Arabidopsis thaliana: one gene and its partner. The protein of the gene in region 1 purifies or fractionates together with the protein of each later gene. This does not show direct contact. Each region holds a gene or a part of one and is shown on either strand. Other genes may lie near its edges. The genes, in order: AT4G36080 and AT3G49830.

Region 1 (16,832 bases):
CCAGCAAGTTCAATTGCAAGCCGCCTATTTTCTGCTGTAGTGTTATATGGCAAACCTAGACGACTTAAAGAATTCACCATCTGAGGAACAAACTGTGCTCTACAGCTGTAAAAAAGATCTGAGTGCCGGACAATGAGTTGGAAGATGTGGATCAAATTTGGAATTGAGTGACCCTCCTCCACCAAAATTTTTTTGGTGTATCTAATCCAAATCGGCATTCTTGAATCTCCAAGTGGAAGCCTTTTAGGTAAAGCTGGCATTAGAATATCCAGGGCTTGCTTAACTAGCATCTTATTCTCTGGCTGGCATGTCCTAAGAAGCGCAACAAAAACCTACATCCAGTCGACAAAAAACATTTGTTAACACTGGATTAGATGGAGGAGTATTTTAGGCACATGCTTGCTTTCAGGTTAGAAATGACAATCTGCAAGCTCGATAATGGAAAAAAGAGGTAAAGATGACATATTCTCTTATAAGAAGTTCCAATTTTCACTCTACAATAGAAACAATACGGAACAATAAACATCACCAAAGAAATTAAAATGCCCACTGGTACCTGGCAGAAAATTGAAATGGTACCTGGAGAATGATTTTCTCTGGAGCCTGGTAAGCATCCAAAAAGTGGCAAACATTAACAAATGCCCACTGTTTACTGGCACTATCTTCCCGTTTGAGATGATTCCATCCAAACTTGATAAGTTCTTTTCTGTGTTGAACCAGATCACTCTGAAGATATTTTAGAAGCAAAGTAGCTAACTGCAAAAGTTCGATCCTCAAGGGTTCGTCATATTCAGCAGAAACCTACAACATTTGAGATGAAATGTAAATCAGAACAAGTACAATAAGACCATGTCAGAAATAACAAATTGGACAGGTTACTATCCTTACCATTTACATCCAGAAAATAATACAGTAATCTTTCCCCACATTAATTTCTGTATCAACAAAAATTTAAGTTGCTTAGAGGAGAAAGAAACCAACCTCTTCAGGTGGATCAAGAAGCCTCTCAACAATGGTCTTGACTATATCAGGGTCAATAACTTCCCAAGTTTGGCCGTTTTGGAAGGCATGGGCAAGCATTGGAAGAATAAGCATTTGCATTGCCTGAACCAGATGATCATGGCCAAGTTGTTTCGACTGAAAAAGGTTTAGAAAATGCAAAACAATTGCTTTTTTCATGTTTGGTGGATATTCTTCTGCAACCTGATGAAAGAACCTAGTTATTTTACTAGAGCTGCAACATATGAGAATCAAGCATGAAATTTTGAGAAAGATACCTCAATAATGTAGAACTCCCTCAAAAAGGTGTAGTCGATACGACTATGGAACAAGAAAATTAAGAGAACATCGAAAAGAACATTCATTTCAGATTTTTCATGTCGCAGATAATTGAGGAAGCACTTGACAAGCCATTTGCTCTCTTTTACCTGCGAGTTTGAGAAAATAAAGATTTGAGATGGCCAATTTTTCTGAATAAATTTAATATTTTGATGGGGAACGAGTATCCCAGTAAAACAAGATGGTATAGATATAAGTCAGGAGGCTCTCAACATACAAGACCATAAAGACTCCCGATAAACACAACACCTAGTATGGACTATTTGAAACATCTACATCTATTTACATCAGGCAAATTTGCAATTGTGAGATGGTTTCTGTCTTTCTGATGCCCACATCAGTTTTAGACACGGAAACACTAAAAGTGAGCATTTAATTTCAGTTTGAAACACAAAGCTAATGTAGAAAATTATGAAAATAAGAAGTAGATGAAAATACCTGAACTAAAGTCAAATTTTGCTCATTCTGTAAACGAGATGTCCTTGCATGTGATTTCCAAAGGTGGGCCAAGGCATCAAAAATAGTACGGTTGCTCTGCAGCCAGCTGGGTATCAGTTTCACCATTGTTTTGATAAGATAGAGACCCTGAAAATACGCATCTGATGCTACATTTGATTTTGTTGATGGCGTGTTAGAACTTTCTGATTTCATAGGGGTGGGTTTTTCATCTCCAGATGATGCAGCTGGAGGAGTTGAAGCTGCTGCACTCAGTATGGCATCAGATTTTGGCAAAATTTCAGGAAAGGCATATGAAAGTATCTTGTGTGGAGATTTTGCAAGTTCTTCCCTTAATGGTTGGCCAGCATCTGATCGAATTATATACATAAACCTGACATTATACGGAAAAGAGGGAAACACTCATTACCCCATGGTCACATTCAGCCTAACATGAGATGTGAAAGAAAAAAGAAAATTCTAATGCAATGTTGTTCTTACCTTCGGAAATATTTTGGTTCACTTAATCTGGAAAGAAAATAATCGACAGCTAGAGTTGCATATCGATTCAAAAACTTGGTAAGCGGGAGACGGTATGGGCTGTTAATTTCACTGTACACTTGTCCTGGAGGAAGAGCTGCTTCTAAGTCGATAGTTAATGTTACAAGTTCATCTAGAAATTTTGATGCAGCAAGTGGAAGTAAGTGGAAGAGCTCGATAATAGCTGCCACAGAAAGAACAAAAAAATGTGTTAATATATAATCACATGACCAGGCATCTGTTTTTATATATTTCCAAGAACGTGATTACCAGCTGCAATTTTCGGCTCTTCACCAGCTTTCCATGATTTCTGGGACTGTGCAAGTTTCTCTGGCTCTAACCACTTTTTAAGGTGCTCCAGCAACTTACATCCTAATGTCACATTAAACCAATTTGATAGAAGTTCAAGAAGACGTGCCAGACCTTGGAGTAAAGGCATATTGAGATTCTTTGTCTGTGCCAGATTAACTAGTATAGGTCTGAGGCTACTCTGAAGAAGTTCTTTGGGCATCCGTTGTTGATTGATAACCTAAAGAAAAACAGAGTTTCAGAACAGCAAAATAGTATATTAAATAACATCATTTATCCCAGAAAGAGAAGAGGGCTTTTAGGTAGAGGAAAACCTATTCCATCAAGTCTATCTTCAAAATCCTCAAATTAAATGTGCGTGCAAGAATTGGAAACAAAAGACAGATAACTACGAACCTGTCTTAACCCCTCCTTGGCAACGGTCACAATTTCTGGTGCTCGACACGTTAAGGACTTGAAAAACATGGAAATTATCTTCGCACGTAGTTCATTGTGACTTTGAGTTCGAAAGTCAGCCCAAGCCATAGTTGTGCACAGAATCTCAATACAAGCTGTTCGAAGTCTGTTCAATGATGTAAGGACTTTAGGACTCATCAACTTCACAGCCCATAAAGCTTCATCAGCCTCAGCTATTTGTAACGCTTCTTGCAAGAAATTAACCAACTCTGGAGTCACCTTTAGAAGGGGGGGCCTCAGTGCTAAACAAAAATTCAGAGCTGTCACAGTTCCAACCTATAAGGCCATATTAAAGAAGGTAAGACAGAAGTCCAGAAAGGATTTACAACAACCAAAAAATAGCAGAATGAGGCACCTGTTGATCAATTGTCTTTGATCGAAGTGGACGCATTATAAGTGGCTGCAGCAAAGGCTGGTATAAAGGCTCAAGCAGTTCAGATACTTCACTACCAGTCCGGCTAGCCAAAAGTGCAAGACAGTTCTGAACATTTTTCCTCACTGTGATGGATGCATTAGAATTGAACAATTCAGTAGCAAGATATTCTACCACATCTTGAAAGCTTTGTCTGCGCGCATCATTGTTTGCTTCGTCAACATTATTAACCACTCTTAGAATCTGTATAAGAACCTGACTTGTCTCGTCTTGCTCTTTGCTAGCATAAACAGGAAGCCTCTTTTGGACATAGACCAGACCACGTACAATTTTTACTTGAAACAGACATAATGTTTCAACATTCACTTTCCCTACCAGCGCACCTAATCCCATTACTCCTCCCATTTGCGCTTGCCATGTGCTCCCATAACAGCAATGCAACAACCGAGGTAAAAGTTGTTCAAACACTGGTATTCGCACACTTGGATGGGGTGAATATACCGGATTTGTAGAAGGACTGGAGACAATCATAGATGCACTGTGAGCACCCCTAGCCATCAGCACATCAGCATGTTTGATACGAGCAAGGAACAGCAGAGTTTCAGCAAACACATTTAACGAAGTCAGAGCAGCTTTGGCATGGAGCCTGTTTTCATCTGCAAGCACATCAACAAGAGCATCTAAAAATATTAAGGGATCCAGCTGTTTTAAGTAGGTAGACCAATTATTCTTGGGCTTGGAACTTGTTGAAATCAAAGAACCCCCAAGTGGACCAGCACTAGTGGAAGTATACGACGAAGTATAGTCCCCATGCAAAATAATTGCAAAATGCCGACATATGTTTACAACAAAGTCATCATCGGAGTCGCTGAGATCCGGATCAGAACTGGCAGCAATTATAGTTATCAATAGTGTCTTAAAGATCGACTTCTCAGCGATTAACTGCGTCTTTGTTTTAACCCCTAAGTCAGCCTGCAGCAGGAAAATGATCCTCTTAATAAATATATCCTTTTATATCCTATGACACCACGTACCACATATCATGTAAGGAGAAAAATAACTTGCTCACAAGAAATGACATGACACAGTCCTAGCTCGTTTTTTCAGAAAATACAAACACATGGCAACAGGATAACAGATACAAAATCGAATCATGTCTCATGTCAATGTGGTTCAATCAAGAAACCATCAGCAGCAAAAAGATCCTCTCTATAAATAAATCCTTTACATCCTATTAGACCATTACACAAATGATTTAAGTTAAAAATAGGCAACTCACAAGAAATGACATGAAACAGTCCTAGCTCCTTTTCTTTTAAAAAATACAAACGCATGGCAACAAGATAACAAATACAAAATCTAATCAGTCAATGTGGTTCAATCAAGAAACTATCGCCTAACAGGTAGCCCCGTCTTCAACATCACGTGATGTCAAAAACCTAATTTATGAAGCATTGTGAATAATGGAGATAAGGTAATGGTTTAAGAAAACGTCAGCCAACTGAGTAGCAACTTTGACATTGACCAGAAAGCTACAGAGTAAAACTATAAAGGGATTAAGATTATAAGAGAAATTCCAAAAACCAACCTCTATTTCTGTTGATTCACTCCTGCGCCAAAATGAATCAACAGAGGAAAGTAACAAAGTTGATAATTGCTTGGTCGTCTGACCCTCATCAGTGACACACCCAGGCAAATTAAGCTGAGACAACAAGCAAACACGGAGGAATTTTAGAGCTTGCTTTTTGTAGTATATCTCTGTAGTGAGGTTTTTCTGCATAACAGCTGCTACAGCAAGATTAATGAATTTGTCCATTGGCACAAGAAATGGAGTGGACGGCTCAAAAGTCAGAACTAAGCGAAGCCCATGTTCTGGATTATCTTTGCATTCAAGTGTAAGTGGCTCTTTCAGAAATCGCCGGTTGCGACCACCCAACTTTCCCACAATTTGTAATGCTTTACCACCCCAAGGATATGGCACCGGCTTCAAGTGAGACCATAATGCTAAGATCACTTCAGACATTACAGTTGCCATACTTGGCTCCAAAAAATCAGGATTTAGACTATCCACCCAGAATTCAAGGGTGCGTAGCCCCAAGCTCACAAGTTCATCACTTCCTCTCAAACAGGATACAAGAGGCCTCATGAGACGGGGAAGGTAAGGCAATAAGGAGCTTAAGCGTGCAGGGAGTGTCAAAGAAAGTTCCAACAGAAGATCTCTCATGTCTTCCCCGGCTGGACCCTCGAGCATTGTCAGAAGAATATTAAGACAAGGTAGCAGCATAGGGACTAAATCCCTAAGAAGCAGCTCGAATTTACATCCAGCAAGTCCTCTGAAAACAGTTCGGAGCAATTGCATATAACCAAGAGGCTTTTCAACTTCAGTAGCATTCTTCATGCAGACTTCCATAATAAGAGGCACTTGAGGTTGCAATATCCGTTCAAAATCAGATGGTGCTTTTGACACAGCCCCAAAGAGGCACCGGAACAGATGCAGAATTAATTTAGTTGCAGCTGAATCTGGATTCTTCAGAACATCGAGCTTGCTGCTTACCAAGAAATTAATCAGAACATCTGCAAATGGCTTGTATACTTTGGGAGCTTGCAGAAGAGTGGCAAATATTTGAACCAGTTGAGTATTGTCGATTATGCACTCAAAAAGTTCAGGCATACATATAGAGAACATATCCATTAGATCACGAGGTTCCATAACAGCCAAAATTTGGGAGAAAAGATTTAGCATTTCCTTCTCCTCATCCTTATCTTTGAAGAGAGCTAGGCAATGGACACCGCTCTTTAAAACACCAGAGGCTTTCCATACCTGCTTGAAAGTAGAGATTACTAGTTGTTTATCAGCCATACATTATTAATGCCTACACTAAACAATCTAACATTCAATACCTCATCTTCTCTCATTCCTTTAAAAACCTGAGTAACAGATGACTGTGACGCAAGAGCTTGTGGGTGCATTCCCTGAGGTCGGGGCAAATGTGCATGGGTTATACTCCATATGATTGTCTTCATTCCTGAATAGAAAGTAGGAAAAGTGCTTAACATAAACAAACATAATCAATAAGTATAACTGATCCACTAAGGTGAAACGTCAGTATGGCCAAAATTCCATACCCATCACCAGTGTCTTGATCAGATTCTTACAATCATTCACTTCTTTGGAATGTTCGGCAGGAACCTGCAAATTCAAAACTGCCTGCAACCAGCATGGTTTGGTAATTAATATTTTTTTGCCAGATACTTTCTATCCAAAGTAAAATATAATGAATTATTAATAAAGAAAATAATGCTTCAGTAGAAATAATAACAGGCTTTAGAAACGAAAGTAGACCTCTATATAAGAGGACATAAGAACATTAAAGAACGCTATGGAACTACTAAGTTTGGACATAACAGCGGAAGTGTGGAACACGATCCCCCATTGGCTGATAATTTGGGTACTTACTAAGACAAAACAGCCACCATAGATAATTACCTGGACAGGAAGTTCAAGCTTCGACCTCAAAGTGATTTGATCCTTTCCGTCACCCTCCTCTAAAAGCTATGAAGGAGAAAGCAAGACTAAGTAACACATCATTGAAATAAAAGAGTTGCCAATCAGAATCGATAAAAGTTCAAGATTTCTCTTTTTTTGCAACAAAAGTTCAAGATTTCTCAACAAAACCATGTAATCTGTTACAGCTAGACATAAAATATAAAAACTGGCATATCAAGCAAAACCTATACAAAGACAATAAACAACAACGCTAAAAAGCTGAAACAACATGGAAACTTGGAAAGCCACCAGAATTACCTGAGGAACAGTACGCTTGAAGGTATTGAATTTCCCAACAAAGGCATCCAAGATACGTCCCTATAAACAGATGATGAGTAAAGTAAGTTAATGATTAGAGCAGCCAACCGATTCTAATATGAGCTCTCAGGTGTAAAGTTATACCAACAATATTCGCGCTTCATCCATTGACTGCTGATCAATGCCTTTCTCAAATATCGGTTCTACCTGAACCCAATATAAGTATTAAGTTATACTAAAATCTTGATTCAAACATAATGGAGAGATTATGTCACATAAATGTTAAGTAATATATCGAATTTAAATAAGGCAAACTAGATGAAAAAAATAGGTTTACCAGATTTAACATCAGACGCGCACAAGTTGTATGGATGTTAAGAGAGAGGGTCGAGTCATGCATGTTCCTTGAAAATAAGTAGATGATCCGCGATAACTGCCACGTTGTTTACAGTCAAATAAGATGAATTGTAAAAGAAAAATCACCCATAGAGTAGACAATGGAATGGGAAAAGATCTAAAAGAGAGAAGCCTGATTGATGTTGGCAAGAAAGATTGACCAATATGTTGTTCCTAAGATTAGTTGTTTATTGGCATCTCGATCTGTCAGAATTTTTTGGGAGGCCCTAGGTTTCAAGTCTATAAGCAAGGAACATATTTCCCAAGTGTGAGCACTTTCTGATCACAATTGATAAGACTGTTAAGATGAGGATCTATTTTAATACACAACCACATATACATAGCAAGAACTGTGTGTACTGGAACACATTAGTCTCACCTACTATAGAATCCAATGTTTTGCAAAGTTTCCAGAACTTAACTCTCTCAACTAAGAAGAGCTAATCTAGGAAGAGAGGACTAACAAATAAAAACAAAAACAAAGATAAGGTAAAGTAAGAAATAAATTGCACAGACACAACGGGAAGCACCTGAGAAAGGGACAAATCTGCTCGAACATGGTGAACAATCTCGGCCAGTAGGCTGTAAGCCAGAGGTCTCAAAGACTCAAAGCATGCTCGCCCCGTTCCAACTAGAACCCTGACACAGAAAAAAATAGCAAATAGATGACATAAGTCATTATTTGTTAATATATTATACTGCGGCACAGTGAAATTATACAGAACAGTAGAAGGTCTACTTGATAAAACAAAACAGCTTCCTGACAGGTGTACAAGTTTAAGAATTCAGAAAGGCAAAAAAGGCACATTATACCTCTCTTCCAAAAGAGTGTCAATAAGAGGAAATAAACCTCTCTTGAAATCCGTCCCAAGTACATGCTTTAGTGAGACTAATAGTTCCTGCATTTCATAGACCAAAAAAATATTCTTTACTTGCAAGCCCATGACTGTATTACAAGGTGAAAACATAAAGAAGAAAAAGGAACAGACAGTTCTCCACCTTTCTGATAGATGCAGAATCCGAACAGGTGACAAGCAAATTTACAATGCTCTTACAAATGCTTTCTTCATGCGGCTTGATATATTCGGCACAACTTTTTAACAAATAAGTCAAAAAGGAAACGGTCTGCAAACAAACACTACAAGTCAATATCCCTTAAAAAACAAAATAATTCAGGTGAAACAACAAGGCAGTGTAGGCCTTAATTAAATATTTTTCTCACTGCCCAAATAAGTTATGGTTTCCTTCTGGATAGAGAGCCATTGTCTCACCTTAACCTGAGCACCCTTCAGTTCGATGAACTGAGGCTTCATATGTGAAGAAACTTTCTCAGGTCCAGGAATAGATATAGCAGCAACCATCAGGGGTAACAAATTAGGAATATTAATCTGAACAAGTCTGCTATACAGCTGAAAAAGAAACATAACGACGAGGGGGCTCTCTGTGACTATTTTGAATGAACGAGTACTTGGGTTGATCTGCCCATTCCTGGAAGGTGCAGTAATGGACAGCGACTGATCAGATGGTGTAGGTATCTCCACAGGTTTCACTTCTTCCATTTTGACATTCTCGAAAAAATGGCTAACCGTCAATCTGAAGTTCTGGTATATTTTGCAGACAAAATCCAAGAATGGTTGAACCTCATTTTCTAATGTTGGCCTAAAGTTCCTAAGAAGATCAAAGATGATGCGAATGCATATTAACCCATTTTCTTCATTATCTGTCGTGAGCACCTGCATTGCAACTTTCAAGAGGTCTTGCACAAAAGGACGAAGAACCTCGCTATGTGGTAGACGATTGAGGATCTCAACCACAATGTTGCGTAGTTTGTGCTCAATATTATCAGTAAATTGAGGCTTTGTAATCTGAAGAAGAATCACTGAAGATGCCCGGAAGTAACATTTCAGAAAATTCAAGTACTCAGCCGTATGTGTGATCTCTAGACTGTCCCTGACCTCCACCACCATCGCAAGCCTCTCCTCAATAGCTATAGAACACAAAAACAAGCTTCGAGTAAGTGTCGCTACATTTTTAAATTAACTTGAACTGACTCAAAATCAAACAAAAATTCCTCAGACAAAATCAAAGCTTGAAGAAATTTTCAAATCCAAAATCAAAGAAACTAATTCTGAGCAACAAACAAACAACCCAACGACGAAATGAAGAGAAAGAGCAGAGAATGAGTGGTATTACGTAGGTCAGGCTCCACGAGACGACGAGAGTGTTGCTCAAAATTCTGAATTGGACTCATGGCTATAAAAAAAGCTGACCCAGACAAGCGAAAACGCTGTCTTAGGGTTCCGTCACATAGTAGGAATAGTAAACGTTGCTTCCTCCTCCTCCTTTCTAAAACCCAAACCGCGACGATCCCTAACGCTAAGCCCAAGGTGCTCCACTAGGTCAGACACTAACAAGGGTTTATCAAATTAAGCTAATTTAATAAGAGTCGGTTATCTGGTATAACACCAATAGCCTCGAGGTTAACGATGGAAGATGATGAATTTTCCCTCTCGATTTTTTTTTTTGGTGTGGGTCTCTCTGCGAGACTCCCCTGAAAAGAGAAAGCGAGGAGAACCTTTGAGAACTCGAGCGTAGCAGTGCAACGAAACGAAATTCAGCAGCCGAGTTATATATAAAGGTCCCAACTTTTTTTATATAAAAAGTCCCCATTGTTCCCTCAAATTTCAGAAATGCGAAGAAAACAAAATCTTATGGTTAAGGAAATGTAATTAACACTGATAATATAGTTGTGTTCGTTTTTTATAATCATCGAACAAGTTTTACACGGAGAATGAAAGTTTACAGAAAAAAAGAGAGAAATCTTTCACGCCATTTTTTTTTTCTTTCAGAAGAAACCAATTGGATGATATTTTCGTCTATTCAACCATATAGTTGAAATTATCGTAAAAAATTCGGTCAAAACGAAAAGAATTATTAGAAGCAATTTCTATAATTTGTTCTGTGGTAAAATCAAATATTATGTTCGTGTTACAAATTCTCAGACGTTGTCGGAGCTAGTAACCTTGGGTCTATAGGACCTATTAGGAGTATGTCGTGAAGTTTCTCTTCGTTGGCCCGATGATGACCGCTCTCGACTCTCAGAATGATAATCTCTCGACCTACGATACTTGCTTCCTCCTCCATGTGCAGTTCGATTGTTGTGATTACTACCATTTTGATCAATGCTGGATCTTGAAGAGCTAATGACTGCATCAGCAGGAGTACTCGGCGTGGTGTGTTCGTATGGCAACGGCTTAATCTCCTCCAAATCAGGTTCCGGGGTGAATCCGACTGGTCTTTTCGACTCGTCCATTTTCCTAAACGTGATCGATATCCTGAAAGCAGAACCGACGATAGCAAAAACAGTATGAACAAAACAAAACGAGATAACACCGATAAATTGCAAAACACCAAATCCTTTTGTAAAAAGAGAGAGTAATGGTTTCATTACCAAACATATAAATAAACGTTGACAAACAATCAAGGTGCTAACAAATTACCTCTTTGTGGGAACGGCAGGTACACAATGCTTAGCGACATCAGCTCCATTACCCTTGAGCACTAGAACTGATCTGAAGCAAAAAAAGTGAAAAACTCGTCAAAAAGTTAAGCAACAGAAGCTTCAGTAGAATAAACTCAGAGAGGGTACGCAAACTTTAGTGATTTACCCGACAGGAAGCGGTATAGAGTAAGAACCGGAGAATTCACCAGGTCCTAAGACTTTGAGATTTGAACCAAAGAGTATATTGCATTCACTGAGGAATGATACTGTGCAGAAAGGGCGGAGGAAGTCATGGTTATCGATGTGAGGAGGTATGCAATCGTCTTCCTCATAGATATTGACGATACAACTATCCGGTACACAAGTTGGAGGAAGTACATGCCACCCAACCAACCTTTTGATTATTACTTTGAAAATAGATGGCATTGGATCAACATCTCCACGTTGAAGGATTCCGGGTGGGTTTCCCGCTTTGTCCTATCCAAAAAACAAAAAACTCTTTCCATATTCACTATAGTTGATAAAATGTTTTCATTTTTAAAGATGAGGAAAGAGTCACTTACCGGTGCATAGTTATAACAACATCCGAATTGAATAGTAACTCGTCCTTTGCCTCTCATCCACTTATGCGGAGCGGTAAAAGTACGCTCTAGATATCGAAAAAGAACCAAAAATTCAAGATTAGATAAGTACCGTTTAGAGTTTTCAAATTCACATTATGCAAAAAGCAATGAAAGAAAACCAGAAGCAAACCTCGCAATTCTCCTCTACGGCCTTTCTCTTGTAGTTCATAGACAAAATCAACAATCTTTTTCTGCTCCACCGCGCTAAAAACACCGGTATGCAATTCAAGTCCTTCGAGAATATTAACAGACCTCCCTCTAACTTTCTCATAACAAGAAAACACTTTCATTTTCTTCACATTCATAAACCGATAACGCTCTCTTTCTTCCCTAGACAATTTACGCTTCTCAGGAGTCTTCATCGAGTCTCCAACGGAAGGACTCACATCAACTCCATGTGAACCTAATTCATTCTCTTTCTGGTCTTCCTCCTCGAGCCCATCTTCTTCTCCCATATCAGCCCAAGACATTTGTGCACTTGCCGCCTCAGAAACAGTTGACTGAGATGATGGCATTGCATGACTTACACTGTCTGACAAAGATCCAAATACAAAAGCCCCAGCTTTCAAACTATCTAATGAGTGAGAAACACACAACTTCCCGTCATAAATATTGTCCATCTTGTTATCAACTTCTTCAGATTCCATGTTATCAACTTCTTCAGATTCCATGTTATCCACCATTGAACCAGAACCCGCTTTAACTTCTCCATTACTACAATGCTCTGTAATAAGGAAACACAATTACACATAAGGTAAGAGAACAAATACAGAAATCTCACGAAGATAGCTTGATTACATAGAATATTCGATATCTCTAATCATCACAAATCTATGAATTAGTTTAGAAATTATTGTAACTCCAATCATTAAATTGAATTCAATAGCTGAAGAAAATTTCGAAACAGAACACACAACATTAGTAGTAACGAAAATTCTCCTCCGTTTCTTTAATCGAATTATGAAAAAAGAATCAGAATTTTCAACAGAGAAGAAGAATTCAAACCTGGGTCTAGAGAACGGATTCGATCGGAGAGAACATGAGCACAGTCGTTGCAGAGATCTCTAGATAAGAAAGGCAACCAATTCGTAAGAAATTCAGAAGCAATCTTAAGTTCGGATGATTGATACTTGGCGAGAAAAACATCTTCCTCATAATTTGGTTCCATTATCTTCTATCGCACAAACCAAATCTCGCTGTTTCCGTACTTTAGTTTCAGTTTGTACGGATCGAACAAACTTTTCTCGAGTTCGTTTACTTTGCTCTTTTGAGTCGTCTTTCATTGATAACAAATTTAGGTCGGATTTGCTTATAAATATTTACAAAAGGGTAGTTTTGGAATTTACCACTACAAAACGCCGACAAAAGTTCTGGTCCGTGAAGCCCATGAATCAAAAGGCCCACTTAAGTTTACGTTAACCCGGAAACGAAAATATTTACAAAAGGGTAGTTTTGTGATACAACAGCTTCCACTCTACAAGCTCGTGGTGAGGAAGAGCTCCTCCAATGTGTTTTAGTATCTTTTTTATGCGTTCATGTCTGTTTTGACTTTGTTGCCGAGAAATTTTACTAAAACTAGTAAAGCTAAGCTCTTTGAGTCGTTTTTCATGTTTAATTGAAGCAGTAGATTGTTCTTCTTCCACTATTGGATGCCATGGAAGTAGAAATCTTCAGGATTCTTCTTGGCTTTGATTCTGAGATTTTTGCAATTTGAAAGTTTAATCAAAGGCTACTGTGATTTTTTTGGATATTTTTCTATGATTTGTGATTTTGAGTTGTGGTGTTTTCTCTTTTTCCCGTTGTTGAGATGTTGAGAAAATTTCTGTCCAGAATTGTTGATTCACACTATTTGCTGATTCGGTTTGGTATGCATTGGTTTTGAAATTAAAACTGATTTCGGTTCGGTTTCATTGGTTTTGTTGAAAAAAACTAAAAGAGTCACGCGATGGAGAATTTGGAGAGATGTGCGTCGATAAAAAAAGTCATGAATTGGAAAGGGTACGAAATAGAGCCTTCTGATTGGCTTAAAAACTCAAAAAAAGTGCAATAGTATACTTGTTGCTAGCTCTTATTATTTGATAAAGTTTTGTACTTGCATCTTTTTTTTCAGTCACCGGAAGTTGGAATTTCGTTTGTGATAGGATCTAAACAAGTATCAAAGTCTACAAATGCTGGATTAAGCAAGTTAAAGCCTTTGTGATTCCCCTGTATCTTCAACAACGTCGTCTTCAAAACTTTATCCAAAGACATCTGTGGATAGCCATAACAAGCCACAGTTACATTATACAGGAAAGGTACCGCCTAAGGCTTTGCATTCCAAAGAAATTGTCACAATCACTTTGTTTGATATGTTTGTTCTGTGGATTGTTAACATTGGTTTATACTTGAGTGAGGTCCCAGACAGGAAATCAAACTCACATTATGCATGTAGCTACTGTCGTTCTGTTGACCATATAAAGCCTTTACTTTTACTGTAGTTAGTTTATAGTTGCATTCTTTAGCTTAGTTCTCTGCTTTACACACTTTGCAACCTAGTAGAACTTTTCTCTTATGACACCCGTGGTCAATACATTGGTTGACAATAATGAAAGTGGAGCTGCTATAACATCTTTTCTTTTTATCAAGTGATTTTATGTTCGGTAATAGCTTACTGTTTCATTAACTCTGACAAACTGTTTATTATTGCACTGTCTGAACACTTAAAGATGAACAACTGACCATAATTTCACTTTCACATATATCTGCAGAACCTCATTGACCTGACAGGTTCTGAGAGCTCAAAGGCTGAAACCAGTGGTTTAAGGCGCAAGGAAAGGTCTTATATAAATAAAGCTTTGCTGACTTTAGGGACTGTGAGTTCTTGGTTATCATTGTTTTCCCCCAAGCGACAATAGTTTTTCGAATTTAAGAACCTTTTTTGCAAGTTGGATCGTTCTTTTGCAAATTTGTAGGTACTTGTTATAGTATTTGATACTCTTATTTACTTTCTGTTGGTGACATGCATAGTGCTGATTTCACTGTCTCTTATATTTTTATGATCCAAACATGAAACACATACATAATCCATCCTCAACCAATGGAAGAGTCTATCAATCAAAATCCTGAAGCTATGGAAGCACTTATCTCCAATCTCTTTGGAAACATCTCGTCCTTGAAATCTGCTTATATCGAGCTTCAAAGTGCTCATACTCCTTACGATCCCGAGAAGATTCAGGCAGCGGACAAAGTTGTCATTTCTGAACTCAAGAATCTTTCCGAAATGAAGCATTTTTACAGAGAGAATAACCCCAAGCCTGTATGTGTCTCTCCACAAGACTCTCGTTTAGCTGCAGAGATTCAAGAGCAGCAGAGTTTGTTGAAGACTTATGAGGTCATGGTGAAAAGGTCGCTAATGGTTTGTTCTGTGTATTGGCAACACTTAATTATTGGATGATAATCACATATCAAGGAGCAATCTTTGGATGCATACGATGAGAAAGAGAAGGAGATGATGATGATGATAGGCAGCATCAACAGAACCGAGCTTCTATCTGTTTTGAAGGCGAAAGGTACTAATATAGACAAGTTACGGTTTGCAATCATGTACTTAATTTCCTTAGAAAGCGTTAACCAAACCGAAGTTGAAGCTGTGGAAGCAGCATTGCGTGAAGCTAAGATAGATACAAGCACGTTTCAGTATGTGAAAAAGATCAAATCGCTGAACGTTTCTTTAGCAGCAAACTCAGCCAGCAAAAGTCATATTGCTCTATGGCCAGTCTATAAACGTGGTGACCGCGCGGGAGTCAAGAATCTCTTATCCAGTGATGAGAAACTAGCGGTGGCAAGGGCTGTTGAGTGTTGAAGCCTTAACTGAAGGAAAACCGAACCTGGAAACAGAGTCATACCTAATACTGGACCCGAGAGCTTCAAAGTCAGGCTCTAGTAGTAGTAGCCATGTGAAGGGACCGTTTAGAGAAGCGATAGTTTTCATGGTCGGTGGAGGAAACTACGTAGAAAATAAAAGTTGGCAGGAGCTCACACAGCGTCAAGAGACAGTTGAGAACATTATCTATGGAGCCACAGAAATCCTTAATGGAAGCTAGCTGTGTTGGGACACAAGGTGGGACTAGGTGGTTCGGTGAATTCTTGACCATCCAAAACTTTAATTATTTATTTTGGTAATGTTTAAAGACTTAATTTGATTTACACAATACTAGTACTGTATATGCTTTTATTTAATATATCCATAACCAAAATAAATTTATATTAATTTTATTTTGAAGTGAGTTTGTTGCTTAAAAAATAAAAAAGTTAAGCAGAACTTTTGATTTCCGAATAATTAATTTCTAGGTCAACGAAGTTGGTTCCGCCGTTAACTAGACTAAAGATTGCGTTTTGGATTTACTTTGGATTCTAAGCTTCTTTTTTAAATGATTGCAGATTTGCAGAAAGAAAGCTTCTTCTTTTATTAAGTTGTGGACAAATGGCTGGTACTAGCATGGCTGAACCTGAAGGTGTCAAGATGTCCCATGACTGTTCAGAGGAAGACGCAAGAAAGGAATTAAAGGTTTTGTTAGATAGGGTCAAATCAGCTGCAACAAGCTTGAGCTATTTGAGATCAAAAGCTAGAATCTTGGCCGTTCCTGGTCTGTCACTCGGTGCTCAACAGCTACAACTTAAAGATGATACTACATTGGCTGGAACCAACAAGAACAAGGATTCCTTGGTTATAGAGGATGGAGTCTATACTTTGAATACGCTCCAATCCATAGAAATGGTTATTACTGATGCGCTGGAGTCTCTTTTGAGGAGGGTCACAGCGGCAGAATCTGAAACGTGTTCTCATAAGGAGAAGGTGATTATATGTGAGGAAGAAATTACAAGGAAGACAGTCCAAATCCAGAATCTGTCCTTGAGATTAGAACAGACGGAACGGATTGTAATGACAGAGTGTGAGTCGCTTAAAAATGCCCTCACTGCTTCCAACAATGTTTTAGATACACTTCTTTCTTCCTCCAGACGGCACTTCCAAACCATTGAAGCCCGGTCAGTCTCATCTCTTTTATTTGCAACTTG
Region 2 (16,127 bases), on another chromosome or scaffold:
AAGTAGAAATTAGAGTAAACAAGAGATTCAAGAAAAATGATTTTTGAGAGTAAACTTGACAATTACAAGAGATTTTTTAGTAATATAATAAATTTAGGGTTTTCGAAAATAGAATTACGGATTTTTTGTTTGGTCATCGAGCTTCTTATTTTTCGGATGGGAATATGTCTAATATTCTTTACCGTATTATTTCTTAAGATTTGAGTGAATCTTTCCTTATCTTCATGGAGGTCGATGCCGAGCTCATCGACTTTTAGTTCTTGGACTGATTTCACAATTCAGTCATATCATTTTGGTGTATTTTTGGTTTGAACCGAGTTAATCGGTGGATACTAAACCACTCTCTTACATTAAATATAAGAAGTGAAGACTCAAGATTATATACGATTTAGTAGTATTTTTATAAAAATTTGTACATTGAATAGTTGATCAACCGAGGAATGGTGGATGTGACATATATGTTTGAGACGGAAAATGGAAATATATCGGACCGTAAGTATAAATTTATATAAGTTTGATGGTAATGCTAAGTTTTGATCACGTTGATACAGTCACTTCTTCTTACATTTTTGATGAGAAAGAGAACAAAATTGGGTTGCTTTCTTTTTTTGTGTTCCTCTAGTTGGAAAGAATGAATGGCTTTTATACAAAAGATAAAACACACATATACAAAAGATGGGTAACATACCCTGAATCAATCAATAGTCATGAAAGTAAACAAGACCTCAAGTCAAATTCGGATTCATTCATAAAATTAAAGAAAATTAAAGAAACAAACCCAAAACGTGGACACACATAACCAGAAGAAGAGATCTAAAATGTATATCAAACACGTCTTTTTAACATGTTTGACAAAATTGAATAGCATCCTCAAGACGGTCAACGGCAAATATCAGCTCATCTTCCGATCAAAAGCAAGCTTCCAAGAGAACGCAACAGCAGAGCATAGCCAAACTGTAATACAAAACAAATACACATTTTATAAGTACCAAACATATAGACTTTGAATATCCATATTACTCCATACCAAAATTTATGAATAATGAACCAAAAAAAGGTATATCATCAGCTTCAAGTATTCAAAACTATATGTTAATATAAAAAGAGAGAGATAATTGGTCAACGCACCATCCTTCCATGAAGCCTCCTGAATCCTTCTTATCTTTCTTATTTTTCGGTGGAGCCTGACCATAATGCGGTGGTGGAGGACCTTGATAAGGATATTGTGGTGGATGACCTTGAGGATATTGCGGTGGAGGATAGCCTTGTGCTGGATATCCTTGACCGTATCCTTGCTGCGGTGGAGGATAACCTGCTGGAGGATATCCCGCTTGAGGATATTGTGGTGGAGGATAACCTGCTGGTGGAGGATACCCTGCTGGTGGATATCCTTCCTTAGGAGGATACCCTGACAAAACAACAACATCGAAACTTAAGAAACAAGAAACAAAAATACCCTAAAAACTTGGAAAAAATTGGGAATTACCTTGAGGAGGAGGAGCACTAACGGGATGTTGTGGGTCTTGATAAGACATCTTCTTCTTCTTCTCTGTTATGCTCTTATCTGAGGGTTTATTTCTTTCTTTATAACGAACTCTTTGCTTCTTTTTCTTCGCTGTGAATGGAATAATAATAGGGTTAGTGACAATGATGATGGATAATAAAGGAGGTTTAGGAGACAAGAGACATGTTCTCTCCAAGGACTACTCTTAGATTTTAATGATTTTTAAATATAACTAAGAAAACTTACATGTGATATAGATGACCAACTCATATTTGTGGAACTGGAATCATTCAAATTAAATTGCTATTGAAATTTCAGCCGTTAAATAACAAAAAGATGACTTTATTTATTTCCTCCTTTATTATACCAACTATCATCGTCCATTCAAATAAAATACACTATAGTATTGAGTTTCACATCATTGATGACTACACACATGGAAACGTATGATCTTATTGGTCAATATCAATTTATGTCAAAGGTTACATTTTGTTGATTTAGAAGTTAATCTCTCAACTTTTTCGCCTTGCTCATTAGTTCTTTTCCAGAAGACTATATATAAGCAAGGCTTGTTGCTTTGTTCACAAGCAACCTACTACACTCTCCGACTGGTTCAGAAGTTCCCCTAGCTGCTTGCTTTTCAGAACCAGAGGAACCTTCTTCTGCGCTTAACAGTATCACCCTATTTACTTGACGATTCCTTTATCGGATTTACAGTGATTCTTTTAGCATTTTTCACCGCCCATTCGCCAAAACCAGGTGAAGAAACCAATTCCTTCAATGCATTTTCCGTGCTCTCTTTAGTGAATTTTTGCAACTCTTCCTTCGTTAGCTTCCTTCTCCCTTCTGGTGTTTTGTGGAATGAAGAAGGAAAGATATCTGACTCAGATAATGGTACTGTCCTCAACTTCTTGTTGGAACCTGCAAAAACCATTTACAGAAGAAAAACCGGTTCTTCAAGAACAACATTACGAGATAAAGGGACTAGTATAAAGAAATCAGACCACTAGAGACACAAAGAGAAAAAATCAAAACCTCTAGGAAGAGGAGAAGCAAACGAGGTAGCATGGATCAAGCCGGGGCTACAACTCTCAGTTTCATCATCTTGCTCATATATTCTTTGAGCTAACAGCTTTCTGCTAATACTCTTTAGAATCAATGAGATGAGAATTCCAGTTATCAACGCTCCTCCAGCAAGTAATGGATCTAAAGAGCTCTGTTAATTAACACAAGATCAAGACTTCAATCACCAAAAGGTTTGGTTATAATCAAAGATGAATCAGAAGCAAAAGCAGAGAAAAAACGAAGTACCTGAAGGATCAGAGCCACAGCAAAAGCTCGGATGGACCAAGAGACAAAGATTGATGTACTAATGTCAACAGAACCATCTTTTGTCACAACAAATTTCTTGACAGTCCAAAATCCTGACCACGCTCCCAACATAAATACAAACACAACCAAAAGAATCGCCAGCTGCAAAATTTTACATAAGCCGTTTAAGATTAATCAAACCAGAATATGAATATGTGACATAACAACAAGTACCAAAACTTACATACAGGGATGTACAAATCTTCACTGATTTCTATCTGCATTAGCAAATCTTGAACTAAACCGCGTATGTATTGAAGAAAGTAACCTCCCACACCAATCTGAGAATATAAAAGAAGGCTTTGGTTAGTACATGTTCGACAAAAGAACTCAAAGAGAAGACAACTCTCACCATAGACGAGTAGAAAAATAACTGAAAACGACTCTTCCCTCTAGTTGGTAGACGCTTTATCCCCTGCACAACCGTTTATCACGTTAACCAGAGAAAAAACCATGAAACATATAACAAAAGATAGCGTTATGAAAACTTTTACCTGATTAATGATAAGAGTTACAAGAATGACAATCCCAATAGACATTGCACCGATATAGTAAAACGCAACTGATTTGCTAAGTCTAGAAGCCAAACTCAGTAACACTATCCCCATGATTAAAAACACAATCCGGTATATGAAAAACTCTGCAAATACAAACTCTACTTTGTTTAGTTTTAGAATTTTGCAAAACACAAAACAACACAAGCACTCTACCTTGTTTAGCAACCAACTCCACGGTGCTGACATTAGATGAGCCACCAAATGTTCTTATATCAAGAATCTTATAGTCAAAAGGTGACATTATCCCAACCCAAGGTAACCCTTTGGACACTCTCTTCCACTGATTATCAGGACACATTCCAATTGCACGCGACGAATTCCTATAATCAGAAAGAAGTAAACTTTAAGATTTCACAGATACTAGATTGATTCATAGAGATTACACAGATACTAGATTTTACCTGTGGAAGCAAACGTCGATACTGTTGGAAGCATTATTACTCAAAAGAGTCAACTTTAGTGAATGTGCATATCTATCAATGTGCTCAAGTCTTCTTTGTAATCCATGGATATGTAATCTCTCACATATCGATGTTATACCTCGTTTCAGACCAGGTGAATATATCACCTCTGTTCTTGGAGTCACTTGTAGTGAACCAGTTTCACCCACAGCTGCTAATAAACAACAAAATTGGATCTTTTTTTATATAATTCATCGCAATTGTCTTAATTATGTAAAAAAAGGTTTGAAATTTGGTGATTCTAAACTACAAAATTCGAGTCCCATAAAGAATTGAAGAAAGCCCTAAAAGTATAATTCAATTCCGACACAAACTTACCAAAGACAAGTTCATTGGAGGAGACAAGGGAGAAGAAAGTGACGAGGTTGAGGAAGAGAATCACGACAATGAAATTTGAGCTTCGGACAATGACTGATGATGAGTCACTCATCGATTTTTCTGGGTTTTGTTTTTTGGATGAAGAAATCGTACGAAAGTAAAAGCAGTCACATAAATAAAAGAGACAAAATTAAGCCATGTCATCATCATATCTGCATACACCAAAAAAAAACATATTTAAGCTTTGTGACACATTCATTCATCATCAAACAGTAGCAGCAATAACCTTGGCAACAAAACATGTTGAAGGAACTGTAAGCACATGACCAAACCACTCAACTTCTCCCCAAATTTCACAACTTTCTTGTTTTTCAAGAGCAATCTCCGCGCACCAAATCTTATTCTTATAGCCGTTGTTACTACAAGGAGATTGTTCGACCCACAAAACCGCCATCTTTCCACCATAATCAGCCAATTGAATACAAACATTAGGTGAGAACTTAGGTAGCCTTACCAATTAACCCTTCAAACGTCTCCACAATCTTACCTTTTTGTCATACCATCTTATCGCTCCGTCAAAAACACAGTACAAAACGTTGTCTATCTCTCAATGAGAACTCGAAAACTTGAAAAATTCCATCTTTTGTTCAACCATGTCCCATGAGTCCATGACAAAATGGGGTGAAAAAATAAGTTCTTGAAAAAGCAATAAAACAAAATTCTCAAACTTCCATGGCCTCGTGTTCTGTTTCTTCTCCTGCAGTAGCCTCCTGTGTGTTTTTTATAGGCACGCTAAACAAGTACTCGCTCTCATGCTCAACCAAGTACTGCATCGATCTCTTGGTGTCTAAAAACAATCTATAAACTCTCTCAATGTCCTGAATCTCTACGACTTTCCCTTTACGTTTCAGGCAAGCTAGGGCAGCTGCATTGATTAGATGAATCGCGTACCTAAGCGAGGTATTACATCCGATCAAAGTCAGAAGCTGTTTCGCTTCCTCGTTCATCTCCACATCCTCTTCTTGGCAACGGATCTCTAAAATATTTCTGATCTCGTCTTGTGTGTAAGGCTGTGTTGTGATAATAAGAAGACGGTCAAGAAAATCGATTGGGATCCCATGTGCTGATATCTGGTTTGTTCCTCGGATTGTTGTCATTCCTCTGTTTGTAGCCACGACCAGGATTGGTGACATATCGTTTTCGAGAGCTCTATTCAGGAAAGAGAAGCATTCGATATCAAGCATATGGACTTCATCAATGAAGAGAACACCAGGTACTATTTCAGCTTTCCCTTCTTCTCTCCACTCTGCCACTTTAGTATCGCTTTGCTCTCGGGTTTCTGAACGAATCTCGCCTGTATCACCTGTGAAGAGGGCTAGATACCCTTGAGTCCTGCAAACAACAGAAAGAAAACAAGAATCCAAATAAGAACTTGAAAAAGCATCAATACGTGAAAAAGAAGCAATCTTTTTAACCTAAACCTAAAACTAAGCAATTGACAAATACAGAACAAGATCAAGAAACAAACCTGCTATTAATAACATCAATCTCATGAAGTGTGACAGAATGCAAAACCTCCTTCCTCTTCTCAAGCTCACCTTCAGGGCACTGCACAAACTTAGTCTTTGAACCCATAACATCAAAATCTCTAGACCTCGTAAAAGATCTTCCAAGCTTAGTAATCTTCCCACAAAACCTATCCAAAACAATAACATCACCACTCTGTACTTTCTCCTTATCCAATGGCTCAATCAATTTCCATCCCAAATCAAAATTAGATTCCATATCAGTCGTCTTCATTGTTATCTTCCCAGTCTTCTTCACAGAACCACCAGAAGAAGCAGGTCTATCAATCGAAATCGTCACAACTTCTCCTTCTATCACGTCAGTCTCTTCTTTGATCCTAACACCAATAGCTTTACGAAAAGCTTGAGTTAAAGCTTCAGTCTTTGACATCTCTAAAGAAAAGATCTCACTTCCTGCAATCATAGTGAATGGTGTTTCTTGTCCAAGTGATTTTGCTATACCCATTGCTATTGCGATTTTACCCGTTCCGGGTTGACCCGCTATAAGTATAGCCCGACCCGAGATTTTGCCGTCTCTGATCAACTCGAGGGTTACTCCGGCGGCTTTACGTGCTTTGATTTGACCAACCATTCCTTCGGATACGGCTCGTGGCTCGAGTACTGAGTCGAGACCTAAACCTCGTATGTGTGAGTGTGCTCCGATTCTTTCGATCCTAGTTAAGTCTCGAGTTTCTGATAACCTTAGTTCTGCCATCGTCGGTTGTTGAGTTCACCCGAGGAATGAGACTTGGCTTTTACTAGGTTTAGACTTTGGAGAATCAATCACCAGAGTCTTTCTTCTTCGTAAAGGTTTAGCTTTATTTATATTAAAAAATTACAAGATTTTGTTTGATATATATTCTTGTTAATTTACTTATGAGGAAGTTTACATTTATATATATATATATATATATATATATATAAATAAAAAGATAGTTTTTTTGTTTTGTTTTGGAATCTGTAAAGATATTGCAGACAAAAATAAAATTGAGAAACTTTTTTTCTTACAGCAAAAATAGTAATTGATAAACTTTCTAAATTATTATTTTTTGTGCTTGTGGTTTTGAATTTGTATTTTATGTTTGTAATTTTGTGAAGTTATTGTGGTTAAAAGAAATTAATTTTTGTTGTAATTTGTTTTTAGAAATTACTCATGATATTAAAATCATGTAGAACTGCATTGGTTGTTAACAAAACAATGTGAATTATTTGCATCACCACTTTTAGAATCGTATGTAATTTTTTTTAACATCAATTATAAGTAATACAAGAAATAATATTAAATGATACAAAATGATTTTTCTTTTCAAGTGTTTGATCCATATTTCTCAATAAGCACAATGCAACAACCTAATAATAAACCTAAAAATCAAAATCAAAATCGTCCTAGAGGCTTATGTTTTTGGTCAACAGATGGTTTTTCTATTTCTTTTGTAAGAATCTCGCAATTACCATAATCAAGAAAAGAGTCTTCTTCTTGAAACTCATCATCATCATCACAAGACATCTCCTCATCTATTCTTCCCATCACAACAACGCATCTATTGTTCTTCCGATGATCCAAGGACAATGATTGTCTCATTGCAATCGTAGGTTGTCCGCCACGTGTCAGACAGCCTTGATCATGTGCCGCCGACGTCAAGGTAAAGCTTCGAGGAAGGGCGGTGCTAGGCGGATCGCAGATTTGGAAGTTTCCGGAGAGTTGACCAAAACCAGATGATCCACCACCGGAATAAATTCCGGCGCCGGAGCATGACGTAATGCTTCGTATGTAGGCGTCACGTGCCATGATCAACAGACGAAAAGGAGCCTTAACCAACCATACGAAGCAGTTCTCTTTCTCTATGACTTTCGCTTTCATTATTGGATTCTCAAGAGTATCGAAATCAAAGTTGTATATATGTAAATATATAACCTTTTAAATATATTATAAGAGACGAAGAAGAAGAAATGCTCAAAGATTTCAAGACACTAAGACAGGATCAAAGAGAAGACAAATCCATGATGACTGTTGTAAATGATAATAACAAAATTATGAATGTGATCTATTCTTAAATGTACCTAGTTGGATGATTAAATACATTTCTTTCAGTTAGATGTTTAAATTTATTAAGGTGTTGTTGCCTTGTTGGCAAATCAGTCTTAACTTATTTCATATAATATGGACACCAATTTAAATCTGGATATTTGAGATGGGTTAGTTAGTAGTTAAAAGGGTATAATGGCTTGGTTCAACTACTTTCTTCAAAGCATGACGCTTGGTATGATAGTTCGGCCCATATATTAAATTTGATCCAATGTATAGACCCAATAGATTAGCACTCTTGTTTGCATCACTACATTACTCTAACCCACTATCGAATACTACAAAACTTTAACTGATTATTGAATCCTATCGTTTGGGATTAATTTGGTTCCAAAGAAATTCATGTGAGGAGATCACAAATAAATTGTTATCGAGATTTGGCCATTACTCTAACTTATCTAGAGCGACAAATATAATTTATAACTGGAGGTACACTATTTAGATCCTAGATTGTAGGTTTCGAAAATCTTGGGCGTTACAAGCAAAAACTCTTGGTATCATTGAATCCATACGTCATATAGTGTATAATTTATTTACAAATATATAGGTGCCTCATGCATGTGTCTGATATGTACATACTACTATAGACATAGATTTAGGGGGTAGAGCGTCACGACTCACGTGACAGTCCAAAGCTAAAATGGCTAGAAAATCAAACATATAGAATACGCGTAGGAATGCGGTATATACCTTTTTTATTCCTTCGTGCTTCTACTTTTGCATTTATTAAAAGATTGTTTCACACTTCTTTAACGTTAAAATAAATGAGCTAAAGCCTAAAATACTAAAGATAAACATATGCGTAGGCAATGCATTATAGTGTATTCATGTTTACCGATGTCATGGGCTCGATTGGTAACACCGAGAATGACGAAAGCGTAGACAAAAATGGTAGAATAAAATGGCATAAAGTCATAACGACAAAGCAAGAAAAAAACAATTTGATTAGAACTATGTTATTGTTGAATTAGTTTGTTATTTTTCATTAATCTTCCATAATCGACCTACGAATTTTCTTGCCTTTTATTAGTCCCTTCTATATCAGTAAATTCATTTTCTTTAAAACATATGTTTGAATCTGCTATACAATTAACAATGTGATCTCATATATGTTTAGACACAAATTGAACCTTTTCCGCAACGATTTTAAGTTGATACAAGAGTATTTCTATTGTATTAGTTGCAGTCATCATCATTATAAATTGACACAACAAAACCTCATTACCTAAAGTGGCATTATTTCACTGTATTCTCATAGAACTATAGAAGTCAAGTTATTTCTCATAGTTGAACGATATTTGACATCCACAAACTCTCTACCATCAAAAGTTATGAGTGTTACATTGCCAATCCGATATACCATCGAATTAGTGATCAATTCCTATAGTTACCTTTCCTCACATTCTCCAAAATCACGAACTGCTCAGTGCATCATGTCTTTAGAGCCCACTCATCCCCATCAAGTCGAAGAATCTACATGATTAAGTGTCATTAGAGTCAGTTTCTTTATATATTTAGCTCATAAATTAAGAGCTAGTAGTCTCGATCTCCATTACATGTTGCAGCGATTGATATTATACGTAAGTATACAATGCAGACATGCGTAAATCATCTTGTCCCAAACAAGACTTGAATCAGAAATCATACCTACCTCTTTTGAAATGTCGACGTCTACCACTAGACCACCACTTAATTGGTTAGTGTCAGTTCATTCTTTCATAATTTGAAACCTTCTAGCTCAACAAACATAAAACAAGAACAAATTCAACACACGTATTAAAAACTGTTGATCCCAACAACGAAAATACGACACACAGTAGTTGAATTTTCGTCACTTCGTTTTCATGAAATGGTTACGCTTTTATTCGTAGGTCCACCTCTAGTCACCACCACTCACACCAGTCATTAGCACTCGGTCCGTATTACTACTTAGATGATATGTTAAATCAATTTTGTTTTTTGATATAGTTATTGTTATTATATTTTTATAATATCACTATCAATCTCCCATCATCCCAAAGGCTAAAAAAACTTGATTACAAAACAAGTCATATCACATTTAAACACTTGCCGGTCCACTTTAGTATATCATCTTAGTTTGACTAGAAAAAAAAAACGTCATAGACACAAAATTTTTGGTTTTATCATTATCAACAACTCTGAAAATCATTTCATTTGAATCTGCAATTTCATTTCAAAAATGGGTCCAGTAATAAGTAATCAATATATTTTTCAATGAAATAATAAATAAAAATATATGTTTGGACAGCAAACTTTGCAGTTATGGGTCAGTACTCAACTGCAACAAAAAGAACACATGGTCTCTCTTACAGATCTCTATCTCTTTCTCTATCCCCACTCCCATCAATTTCCAAGTTTTATTATTAAATTATCTTGATTTGGTAGAGAGTTTGTTTTGTTAAAAATATGAAAAATTTGAAAACCAAATTAATTAACAAATGAAGGTTGGGTGGGGAAGAGGCAGATGTGGACACGTGGTGGGATATGATTGGGTAAAAGGAACAGTCAAAGGGGGCAAAGAGATTAGACCCGGAGACGATCGACGCTTATAGTCAAAGCAAGACACTGTCACGGTCAAATATTATGTCTAGCTGGCACTTTTGTTTGTGGTCCCCATCTCACTCCTCTCTGTTTTTTTTTTCTTTTCTAATAGTGTGTGATATTTATAAAGTATATTTCTCAAAAAAATATTTATTTTTAAAACTTTTTTATTTTGAAACTGCAATTATGTGAAACAATTTAACCAATTTTTAAATGTTGTTTTTATATAAAAATTCTTATTCGTCAGCAGATTAAATCGATTCAAAAAGTTGTTTGGCAATAAGCTTTTTTAATAGCTATTATAATTTTTTTTGAAGTAATATTATAGGGAAATATCCGTTTGGGTTAGAATTTAATATAATAAATCTAAAATATAGGTTTAGATTTAATTGGGTTCGAATATATTCGGGTAAATACTTGAATTTTCGGATAAAATTTTGGGTTTAAGGTAAAATTTATATTTTCGAATAAAAATATTTGAGTATTTTTGGATTGTGGTTGGATTCGATTTTTTTAGTTTAGGAATTTAGAATTCAATATAATAAATCTTTCGATTCGGATTCGGTTTTAGATCCAATTATTTGGGTCGGTTTCGGTTCGGGTAATCGGTTTCGGTTTTTTTTTTCAGTTTTAATTTTTTTTATATACTAAAAAGAGGTGAAGGAAGGTATTGGTATAACAAACAAAAAATCAAGAGTTGTTCCTTTGGAATTAATAACGATGATAAGATTGAAATTAAAAAAGTAATTAAGAAATTAAACATAGAAATTATCGTCACACGTGCCCCGACCTGTACGGGTTACTCTTCCCCGTGGGTGTTTGGAGTTTAGTGCAAACTTCTCAGCTTTTTTGACTACGTTGCCGGATTTTCTTTACTCTTTCATTTTTACCACTTTACCCTCATTTTTGTTTATCCTTCAACATTTTTTTTGTTTTTTTAACAAAATCCTTAACCTTAACAAACATCTTTTTAACATAAATGGGAAAAGTATTTATCCTTAGTTAGCGTGGATATTAAGAAAAAAAAAGCTAAAAGAAAATTTAGAATTTCACTGTTGTCTTTTTTTGACTAATTAAAGGATATTCCCAATTTTAAATCCAAAATATTATCAGAAAAAACTAAAACTATTCATTCACATACCAAAGTGTTTATTCCACACTTTATTGGAAGGAACAATTACATCTCCTGTATAATTTGACTGAAATAATGTGTTTAAAATTACTAATTCTTTATTATTGGGAGAATTTTCTTGGTTGCCTAATTAATTACGTTTTAAAACTATAAAAGGTAGGGACAAAATTGGAAATCAAAATTATTAAGCTGAGTTTTTCAATGGTAATTAAAAAAGAGAGTTGTATTATAATAAAACCGGGAGGTGAGGGCATGTCACATGTGGTGTAGCTTGCACGTGTGGTACGCGAGTCGAGAGGACTAAATGACCGGCTATAACCAGTGAATTCACCGGTCACCTTATCTTTAATTTTTTTAGATTTTCCACCCGAATCTTTCAACAAATCTTTAATCTCTCCCCTTTTTTCTCCTTTTTATTTTATTCACCCCATTTTTTTTTCCTCTCAAAGAAACAAAAACAAAACAATCACTCACACTACCTCAGAAGAAGGTAAGAGAGAAACAAACAAACAAAAGAGAGAGTACGGGTTTCTTCTTCGTCATTCTCACGAATTCGTGAATTTATTTTTGATTTCGTCATCTGGGTTTTCTCAAATTCTCTTCCTTTTTTATCTTTTGAGATTTTCTGGTATTGAAAGTTCAAACCTTTGTACTGGGTTCGTTGATTTTTTTTTGGTTTCCTTCTCATTATTCTTCATGATTCCTCCTTTTTTCTGTTTCTCGAAATTTGTGGTTATAAAATTCACATTTTTTTTGGGAGCAGTTGGGTTTCAATCATGTGTTTATGATGTTATATTATTAACAAGAGTTGAATGAATCTTCTTTTTGACCGTTGAAAAGAGAAAAACTAAATTAAAGCAAAGAGGAAAAAGAAGAAGAAGAAGATTGTGTTGTTGTTGTTGTTTTAACGCTTCTTTCTGAGATAAAGACATGCGTTTCTTTTTCAGCTCACATTATTTTCCCAAATGTTGTGAGTTTGAGAAGAAAAGTCTGTTTTTTTATTGAGATTTTTTTGTTTCTATAGATTCTATCGAAATGCCGATGTTTCAGCCGTTAAAGAGAGATGGGTTAATAGGATTTGAAGGTGGTGGTGATGGGCAAGTCTTAGATCTGGATACTGCAGTGAAAGATGGAGTTCTCGGTGGTGTTAATGGTGGTGGTGTTGGAGTTGTTGATGAGAAATTGGATCTGAAGAAGATGATAAAGGAGCTAGATTTACAAGATATACCTTCTGTTTTCATTTGTCCTATCTCCTTAGAGCCGATGCAAGATCCTGTGACTTTGTGTACTGGTCAAACCTATGAAAGGTTAAACATTCACAAATGGTTTAACCTAGGTCACTTGACTTGTCCTACTACAATGCAAGAGCTTTGGGATGATACGGTAACTCCTAATAAAACTCTTCATCATTTGATCTATACTTGGTTCTCTCAGAAGTATGTGTTGATGAAGAAACGTTCTGAGGATGTTCAAGGACGAGCTATTGAGATTTTGGGGACTTTGAAGAAAGCTAAAGGTCAAGCTAGGGTTCATGCTTTGAGTGAGCTTAAACAGATTGTTATTGCTCATCTTATGGCGAGGAAGACTGTTGTTGAAGAAGGTGGTGTCTCTGTGATCTCTTCTCTTTTGGGTCCTTTTACTTCTCATGCTGTTGGATCTGAGGTTGTTGCTATTCTTGTGAGTCTTGATCTTGATTCTGATTCGAAATCCGGCTTGATGCAACCAGCTAAGGTTTCTTTGATTGTTGATATGTTGAATGATGGATCTAATGAGACTAAGATCAATTGTGCTAGATTGATTAGAGGATTGGTGGAAGAGAAAGGGTTTAGAGCAGAGCTTGTTTCAAGTCATAGTTTGCTTGTTGGGTTAATGAGATTGGTTAAGGATAAGAGACATAGAAATGGAGTATCTCCTGCACTTCGGTTGCTTAAACCGATTTCGGTTCATAAACAAGTTCGAAGCTTGATGGTTAGCATTGGAGCAGTGCCTCAATTAGTTGATATCTTACCGTCTTTAGACCCGGAATGTTTGGAGTTAGCTCTGTTTGTTCTTGATGCTTTGTGTACAGACGTGGAAGGAAGAGTTGCTGTCAAAGACTCTGCAAACACAATACCTTATACAGTTAGGGTGCTGATGAGGGTGTCTGAGAATTGCACTAACTACGCGCTGTCGATTCTTTGGTCTGTCTGCAAATTAGCTCCAGAAGAATGTTCACCACTTGCTGTTGAGGTTGGTCTTGCTGCAAAGCTGTTACTCGTGATCCAGAGCGGGTGTGATGCAGCGTTGAAGCAGCGGTCAGCAGAGCTACTTAAGCTTTGTAGTCTACATTATTCAGACACCATGTTTATTTCCAAATGCAAACTCACAAGGACAATCCAATAGCATTGGCACTGATTGATCACAGGATTCAGCGGGTTATCCATGAAACGGTAAATGTGCATTGCATTACGAATCTGCCTTTGCCCTGATGTATATATAGATGATGAGTTTGAAGATTGAGCTATTGGTTTTGGTGGTAACAATTCAAAGGAAGAGGCAATCAGCTGATGGAAACATGGGGAAGACGAAGAAACCGGGTGGTTGAGGGATCGGTATGTAATGTTACCATATTGGTTCGTTTTGCAATAAGCATTGGGAATTAGAAAAAAACTGTGTAAAGTTACCGCCTCTGGCTCAAATCAATTTCAGAAGAACAAAGAAAAAGAAGAATTTGAAGAAAGGAACCATATTAAGTTAAACCTCTCTACTTTGGGTTCTTGTGAGAGGTTGTTTTGCTTTTTGACCATTCACAACAGAGAAAAAAAAAAAAAAAAAAAAGCAAAATCTTTGACCCTGAACTTGTAGAAGCCTCTTTTAAGCTTTTGAATCTTTTTTTCTTCATTCAATGTTTTCTTTTAGCTTTACTTAGATTAGGAATTAGACAATTGTCATGATTTCATCTTTGTTCTCAGCCTCCTTATTGTCTTCAACGAAGTAAATATCAAAAACGTGATTCTTGAAAAATCAATCACTGTTATTGCATAGAGTGACATCTCAAAGTACAGTATGATGTGAATTTTGATTCTTGTCTAATAAGTAGAGCACATAAGTTGTGGTGGAGACCAAAAGTCTCCATACATTGTTCTGAACTACTACTGTTGTAATGAACAATTGAAAAGAAATGTGAGATTTGACAAGTGAATCATTCAACAATTTCTACTGTTTTTTAACACAAAAATAAACATAGGCTTATTTTACTTGTCCTGTTTTTGGAAATGAGTCTGAGCAAATCTCTGTTTTGAGTGGGTTTGTGTATAACACAGTGTGATGTGAGAGTTTTTGTCTTGACATATAAAACTCTGTAACAGAGAATAACAGTAACCAAACCTATAGATGGGCTAGATATTGTACCTTATGGGCTTTAGCTACTAAGCCCATTTGCATAATTAAACAACGACGTTTCTTAAATTGAATGGTGTCCCGCATACCCTAGCCCCTAGATGGGCTGGACTTTCAATCTTATGGGCTATTTTTACGTAGCTCATTAACTAATCCAGCGACGACGTTTCGTAAGGTTGAATATTTAGCGTCAATGGTGTCTCGTTAAAGGTCGCGGATTAAGAGAGAGATACTCGAGAGACTTGTGAGAGATCCCCAAAAAAATGGCATGGCTTGCTAGATCCATTGCGAATTCTCTGAAGATCGATGAGGAAGAATATGATCAAAAGGAAACGATTAAGACCAATTCGATTGAAAATTCCGGCTCAGATCAACCGTCTTCGCCATCGGTGTTGCAAACACAGTCTCCACGAGGCGTGAAGGAAGACATCTCTGAACTCACCAAGACCTTAAGAAGTCAGCTATGGGGCGTTGCTTCTTTCCTCGCGCCACCTCCTTCTTCTTCCGATACGGCGGATCATGTGGATGAGGAGACTCGGAAGTCATCGGATCTCGCGGAAGGTGATGAGGATCTGATTGCTGGAATCAGGAACGATTTCGTTGAGATCGGAGGTAGATTTAAGACTGGGATCTCGAAACTCTCTGGAAACTTACCGGTATCGAAGTTTACAAATATGGCTTCGAATTTCTTGCAATTGGGATCGGAAGGTGTGGATTCGAAGAACCGTGATGTTGCGATTGGAAATGCAATTGGTGTGACGGAGGAAGTAGTTTTGTTTGCTAGAGATCTTGCTCTGCATCCTGAGACTTGGCTTGATTTTCCTTTTCCTGACGAGGATGATAACTTTGATGGTACGTTTTCGATTTCGCAGCAGATTCGACACTAATTTGTAATCGATTATGTTGATGAGGGAATCTACTATGGTCTAGACTTAGATATTCCGTATTTGAGAGTTTTTTCTGATCACTTTAGAGTTTAGGGTTTGTTTTATATGAAGGTGTTGTTGTTAAGTGGTATTTTACAACTGTTATGATCAGACTTTGAAATGACTGATGCCCAATATGAGCATGCGTTGGCTGTGGAGAATCTTGCATCGAGTCTGGCTGCTTTGAGGATTGAGCTTTGTCCTGCGTACATGAGCGAGTATTGCTTCTGGAGGATTTACTTTGTACTTGTGCATCCTATATTCAGC

What was found.
Region 2: the proteins of AT4G36080 (region 1) and AT3G49830 fractionate together in Arabidopsis thaliana (co-fractionation; one large-scale study listed by BioGRID). This does not show direct contact.

The regions. Positions count from the first base shown.
Region 1 is NC_003075.7:17,067,726-17,084,557, forward strand, and holds the start of AT4G36080 (phosphotransferases/inositol or phosphatidylinositol kinase), read right to left. Parts: upstream 10,315-16,832; 5' UTR 9,904-10,314; coding exon 9,846-9,903; intron 9,640-9,845; coding exon 8,924-9,639; intron 8,778-8,923; coding exon 8,652-8,777; intron 8,552-8,651; coding exon 8,466-8,551; intron 8,292-8,465; coding exon 8,183-8,291; intron 7,690-8,182; coding exon 7,594-7,689; intron 7,464-7,593; coding exon 7,401-7,463; intron 7,317-7,400; coding exon 7,257-7,316; intron 7,005-7,256; coding exon 6,939-7,004; intron 6,660-6,938; coding exon 6,578-6,659; intron 6,478-6,577; coding exon 6,353-6,477; intron 6,273-6,352; coding exon 5,040-6,272; intron 4,424-5,039; coding exon 3,434-4,423; intron 3,355-3,433; coding exon 3,019-3,354; intron 2,843-3,018; coding exon 2,584-2,842; intron 2,498-2,583; coding exon 2,275-2,497; intron 2,168-2,274; coding exon 1,777-2,167; intron 1,428-1,776; coding exon 1,278-1,427; intron 1,204-1,277; coding exon 982-1,203; intron 802-981; and 3 more. Other genes in the region: AT4G36090 (oxidoreductase, 2OG-Fe(II) oxygenase family protein), read right to left, coding at 10,651-10,987, 11,153-11,224, 11,321-11,631, 11,718-11,803, 11,908-12,501, 12,783-12,945; AT4G36100 (Sec1/munc18-like (SM) proteins superfamily), read left to right, coding at 14,854-15,171, 15,226-15,618; AT4G36105 (polyamine-modulated factor 1-binding protein), read left to right, coding at 16,240-16,802.
Region 2 is NC_003074.8:18,472,747-18,488,873, reverse strand, and holds AT3G49830 (P-loop containing nucleoside triphosphate hydrolases superfamily protein), read right to left. Parts: upstream 6,626-16,127; 5' UTR 6,492-6,625; coding exon 5,740-6,491; intron 5,604-5,739; coding exon 4,934-5,603; 3' UTR 4,894-4,933; downstream 1-4,893. Other genes in the region: WIH3 (cysteine-rich TM module stress tolerance protein), read right to left, coding at 909-954, 1,129-1,408, 1,487-1,535; AT3G49840 (transmembrane protein (DUF2215)), read right to left, coding at 2,187-2,425, 2,540-2,720, 2,816-2,977, 3,064-3,156, 3,228-3,290, 3,370-3,515, 3,586-3,752, 3,834-4,047 and 1 more; AT3G49820 (uncharacterized protein), read right to left, coding at 7,152-7,637; AT3G49810 (ARM repeat superfamily protein), read left to right, coding at 12,592-13,938; AT3G49800 (BSD domain-containing protein), read left to right, coding at 15,198-15,786, 15,973-16,127.